Oryzias latipes: one gene and its partner. The protein of the gene in region 1 purifies or fractionates together with the protein of each later gene. This does not show direct contact. Links are inferred from orthologs where the notes say so. Each region holds a gene or a part of one and is shown on either strand. Other genes may lie near its edges. The genes, in order: cct8 and pdcl3.

Evidence for each region.
Region 2: the proteins of cct8 (region 1) and pdcl3 purify together in Homo sapiens (affinity purification with mass spectrometry; 3 studies listed by BioGRID and IntAct, with this or other methods). This does not show direct contact. The link is inferred for Oryzias latipes from reciprocal best matches to the Homo sapiens genes CCT8 and PDCL3.

The regions. Positions count from the first base shown.
Region 1 is NC_019872.2:12,638,399-12,641,399, reverse strand, and holds the end of cct8 (T-complex protein 1 subunit theta), read left to right. Parts: intron 1-1,231; coding exon 1,232-1,336; 3' UTR 1,337-1,365; intron 1,366-2,153; coding exon of another isoform or gene 2,154-2,225; 3' UTR 2,226-2,386; downstream 2,387-3,001. Other genes in the region: uncharacterized serine/threonine-protein kinase SgK494, read left to right, coding at 2,700-2,729. UniProt on the Homo sapiens protein: Component of the chaperonin-containing T-complex (TRiC), a molecular chaperone complex that assists the folding of actin, tubulin and other proteins upon ATP hydrolysis.
Region 2 is NC_019879.2:4,242,868-4,245,766, reverse strand, and holds the end of pdcl3 (phosducin-like protein 3), read left to right. Parts: intron 1-1,176; coding exon 1,177-1,385; intron 1,386-1,867; coding exon 1,868-2,016; 3' UTR 2,017-2,397; downstream 2,398-2,899. UniProt on the Homo sapiens protein: Acts as a chaperone for the angiogenic VEGF receptor KDR/VEGFR2, increasing its abundance by inhibiting its ubiquitination and degradation.

The DNA of each region.
Region 1 (3,001 bases):
TTGCTTTGGTAAAAGCAACTTGTATATGCGATACAGTTGCAGATCTTAACATTGTGATCATTAAATAAAACGACTTTTACCATTTTATTATAATAAAAGCTGTAATAATATTCAGGTAGAGTTAGGCCTGCACAAATTTATCATTTTCGCCACATCAAGCTGTGCAATATGCATACCGTAAAAGATGTCAAAAATCGCAATAAATGTTTACCTTAAATGTGCTAAAACAAACTCATGGCAGCTTGAAATATTAAACAAATGAAATAAATCCCTTTATACATTTAACCAATTAGAAGGACCCGTTTACGTTGTTGATCAATCAGATGAGCCCTTTTATGTTTGATGTTTGCCTCCTACGTCGACAAGGGTCATTTGGAGTATAATTTCTAAACTGTTTCAGTGAAATGGAAATTATGTTTTTTTTTTTTTTTGCTATTTGTTTATTTACCGCAATTTATATCGTTATCACAATATTAATTACCAATATCGCATATCGCGAGTTTTCCTCATATCGTGCAGCCCTAGGTAGAGTTTTTTTCAGTCGTAATGTTAAAAACACAGAAAATGTGTTCTGCTACTATATTGCGATATGTATTTTATCATAGGACATGTAACGGTATACGTATCGTAGCTCCAGACACTTGGGATACACACCCCTAGTCTAAGAGAACATCACACTTCTGATAAAGAAAGAAGTTCCTCGTTTGCCCTAGTTTTTTATTTTTGAGTGCAACAAGACATTACATAAAACATTTTTTTTACCTTTCATCAAAAACCTGAAAATGGCATGTTCTAAAACTTGACCAGTAGTTTACTTGAGTGAGATTTCCTTCTCATCCAATGGAGAAAACAAACCTATAACAGGAAATGATGAACTAACTAGATATGAAGGATAAAGTCACATCCAGAATTCTACATGTGACACTATTGGTTCCTGCTATTTGATGTAGCTTTTTTGAACAAACTCATGATTGTAAAGTAGTGGATGATCTAGATGTTTGTGTAGGAGAACGTGGCCATAACATAGAACAGAGAATAAAAGCAGAAATTCATGCTGGACATTGTGAAATTCAGGGCATCACTGCAGCCTGTTAATTGAAGCTTTGTAAAATGGCCATCAACATTTTAGAATCCAAGATGCAGTAAGCCGGTCATAATAAAAACATGGCATTCAGTGGAAACAACAAAAACCAGCAAATATTAAGTGTGTGTTTGTGTGTGCGCAACCCAGATCATCATGGCTAAGCCTGCAGGGGGACCCAAAACTCCCAAGCAGAGAGGCCATTGGGACAAGGATGGTTGGGACGAAGAGCCTGATCATTTTGACACCCATTAGCGGGCTCTCGCGCACACAGAGCCCCCGCAGTAGGTCTCGGAACGTGTGTGCACTTCTAACTAAAGACTGCAGATGAACTCAAAGGACACTAAATGCAAAACAACAGATCTGTCACTACTAACGACAAACTCTGCAGAGATGCAAACAATTTTGAGATTCACTTTTTCTAGTACTTCTAACAACACGGCGTGTGTCACTGTGATGCAGCATGAAACAAACTGGATGTTGCGTGATTGCATGATGCATGTAATCCTTTTTCTTTCAGTGGACATCCTCAAGAGGTATTGTGTTTGTTTGTTCTTGGAAACTTGTAAAGAAGACTAGAAAAACAGATTTTATTGCCCAACTTGTTCATTTCTTGTGGTGCAAAGTTTTCTAGAGAAAACATTTTAGGTCCCACTCAGATCATCTTTTGATCTATTTTTAAAGCGTCCCCAGTGTCTTTTAGAGTATAATTATGCCCTTTTTCTTTTCTTTTTTTTGGCAAAATAAAAAAAATCTGCCATTTTCTTGGGCATTTTTGGCAGAGCAGCCATAGTTCATCAGAAATTTACGTCTTGAGTTGCAGACAGAACTTGGTTCGGAGTGAGCCAATTTTAGGCTTAATTTCCTTACTATATTTTGTAGACTTATTGGGTGGAATTTGCAGTCATTTGAACCAAATTTTCCCCTGTCACATGCATTTCTAGTACTTTTCATTAGAATTCTTTTCTAACTTTAATGGGTGTTGTTGTCTGACCATGTTATTTTTTGAGTTGCATGGATTTGTCTTTTATTTCTTCTGGTAGGAATTATTTTTATTTTCATTTTCTTTCAGATCATCATGGCTAAACCAGCAGGCGGCCCCAAACCTCCAGAGGGCAAGAAGAACTTTGACGACGACGACTAAAGCCAACGCTCTACTCACCCACGTTTTCTACCTGTTTATTTAAAGCTCAGTTTTCTTTTATTTTGTAGGAACTGCATTGGTTGACAAAGTAAAACCACGAAAGTAAACATCGCCCTGCTTTTTATGTTCAAAGTTCAAAATAAAAGGCACTCGTGTTATCAGAGGGGAGTTTTTTTTAATTGCTTTATATTGCAGCTGCTGTCCAGCAGGGGGAGCTGAAGTCCAGGAGTCCTGGTAAATGTGTGCGGATTTACGCTGACGTTGCCCATAAAAGGGATTATCCTGTTTTGTTTTTATCGCCATCCCACGTTTTGCATCGAATCTCAGCTGCTGAACTAAATGAATATTGCACACAAAATTCGTATCTGCGTGTGATGTGTAAATGAAAGGGGAAGAGGGGGCGGCGATGTCCCGCGCGGAGTCACTGGTGAGGAGCAAACCGACCTTCCAGCCTGATGCTCGGTCACGCTAATAATGGGGGCCGACGGTAGTAAAAGCAAGAAGGTGAGTTGGATGAAAACCCTGGTTGCTTAGAGGTGACGCGCATATGGGGTTCTCTGTTTCCATGGCAATGATTCAGGTGAAATTGAAAAGGGGGTTACAGCAGACTTTTAAAAAAAAATATGTACGAATTTTGTTGCAGACCATCTTGACTTTAGTTTCGCAGGAGGTTCGCTATGAATTAAGATAGCAAGTGTCACCAGCGCACGCTGACATCAGGAGGAATGATATCTTTATTAGTACTTTTATTTTGAAGAATTTGCATGCTTCCGGTT
Region 2 (2,899 bases), on another chromosome or scaffold:
TATTTAAAAGTTCTTTGTAGGACATCGTATTTTCATGACCATAGGGCGCACTGGGGTGCAGTTTCAGTTTTGGGTGATTTTTCTGTATTTAACACCTACAAATCGCACGCCGCGAGGACGTTCAAACATACTGGTAAAACATCCATGCTAGTGTGTGTTTTTAAAAAGGCAGCTGGAGCAAAACTGAGTTGGTTGTGATTTATTTTTACATTTTTTCCGTCCTCAATCAGCATCCAAAAATCCATCAAAGTCCTCATCTTCTGTATCCTAAATGAACAGCTGGGCTACATTTCTATCAAACACGCCAGCTTCCCGTCTGTCATCGTCAGAGTCCGTCTCAGTTGCCAGTCTCAGTTCTTTCAGAGGAACATTCTTTATTTCTTTTCTCAACTCCAAAACGTTGACTGACCGCGCTGTATGCGCTCCACAAACACCCACACTCATCCCTCAACACTCGTTAGCCCAAGCATCTACAATCCATTCACAAATTGTGGTGTAACTCGCCCAGCGCTTCCTCCCAGTCTTAGTAAAAGTGTGACAGCTTGCTGTTTAAACTGATATGAGTGTATCTCTTTGCATTTTCAGGGTTACCAAAACGATGCTGTTCTGCTTAATGCACATGCCTTTTGCACATGCATTTTTGTACTATTCGGGGGGGGGGGGTCTTCTTTCACGTCCTCACTGCCCTCCTTACTGTTCTCATGCTGTCCTCTTCTCCGTCCTCTTTACCAAAGGGCGCTCCATACATTTCGGAGAAAATTTACGACTTTTAAGTAAGGCGCCCCGTAGTCGTAAAAATACAGTATTTTAGTGCGAGCCTTCAATGATGTTCCTGCTTCGCATCCAAACTCTACCTAAACCTCACAGATGGCTGCAACATTTGGAAAAAAATCTTCAAAGCTCCAGCTAACATAAGTCTTTAAATAATAATAACCCTCTTTTTTACCACCCATTATGTGTTAAAACTGTTTTAGAAACTAAATGCTCAAACATCTTTTCAATTTTGCATCGTTGTTGTTTTTGGGAATCATTATATTGACAGTAAAGTGATATTAGACGTTGATCTTTTTATCCAATTATGAATAAAATTCTGCATCTAAACAGCATTTTTTTCCTTTTTTTTAAAATTGTGTTCAACATTAAAGCAACCTTTTCTTCTTTTTTTTTCTCCCCCAGCATCCCCCTCTGCACCCTCATCAATCAGCACCTGAACATGCTGGCCCGAAAATTTCCCCAGACAAAGTTCCTCAAGTCCATCTCCACCACTTGCATCCCAAACTACCCCGACCGCAACCTGCCCACTATATTCGTCTACTTTGAAGGGGAGATGAAGGCGCAGTTCATCGGTCCTCTGGTGTTTGGAGGCATGAACCTCAAAGTGGAAGGTAAGCAGTAGCTAAAACACTGCCACAGCTCTCATCAATGGTTATTTCCAAATATTTCTCAGAATATTGTTTGTGTGTGAGCCTTTAGTGGGATGTCAAACATCTGTGAATAATACTCACCGCTTTGGTGATTATGCTAATTGTCATGTCAGTTTTTCTAAATAAAGTTTTAAAGACTTTTGGGTTTTGTAACCTTAGTTTGGGATTTTGCCAAATGTCCTTTTAACGTTTGGCAACTTGGTTTATTTCAAAAAAGTGTCCTTAAATATGATTCTCATTATTTTAGGACATGTTCAATTTAAATGTGGATAATTCTAGAACATTTGTTTGTCTTGCTTTTTACGCAGAAAATGCGTTTAGACTTTGTTCATGTTTATTATTCATTCACTTTGTAATCCATTTGTTCCCTTTCGGGGTCACCGGAGTCTATCCCGTGACATGTCCCATCACATGTTTATTATGTTTTTTTGTAATTCATCCAGAGCTGGAGTGGAGGCTTTCTGAATCCGGGGCGGTGAAGACAGAATTGGAGGAGAACCCGAGGAAACAAATAGAAGACAAGTTGATGTCATCAATCAGGAACTCGCTTCCTACACGGAAGGACGGTGACTCTGAGGAGGACGACGAATAAGCGGGAAAGAGTCGTGAAACAAACCAGAGGGAACCGCATGGGGTTTGGCAGCATTGGAGCAGAGGCGAAAGGGCGTGGCCTTCACCATGGAGTTCATATTTCTAACTGTAGGTGGCGATCAACCTGCTCTAAGGCACTTGTTGAGAGAGTCCCCGTGTTGCCAAATTTCTCCTCTCGTGTTTGTCAGTACACTTTGTCGTAAACATGTGCTGAGAGAGCCACCAAACATAAATTGTCATTTTTTTTTAATAACATGACAGTTTTGTCACAAAAAAATATACATTAACATTGAATTCACCTTTTCTTTGCCTTAATTATATTTTTCCTAAATGCTCTTTATTTGGTATCACTGCTGATTATAAAGGACTTGCTGAAAAATTATTTACAACTTGTGTTTTGTCGCCAATCTCATTTCAAGGCAGCGCTACCAGAGTCTTCCTCATTGCTACAACTGTGGCGTTAGGAAGCATGAACACGCATGGCAGTCATGGCAGTGCAGTTCTGTTTTGTTTTTTTCCATCTTTACACACAATTTATTAAGGAAAAGTTGTTTCCATCTGGAAGGAGGAGCCGGAGATGCTGCATATGGCTTGTCTTCAGTTGATCATCCAGCTGCTTTTCTTCAAAAATAATCTCGCTTTCGATTTTTTTTTTTTTTTTCTTTTCCTTACAACATCCCCTCCGGCAGGCCTCGAATCTTCTGTTTAATTAAAAAGAGTGGAAAAAGATTAGTCTGCGCACCAAGTGAACACATTCAGTGATGGCTTTTTAAGTGATGTGTAAAGCTTAGACGTAATTACCCTTTTCTACCTGAAAAGGTGGCAAAGAGCAATAGTGTCAAGTCTGTAGGGTGAAAGCTATTCATAATTTCTCCATATTTCTT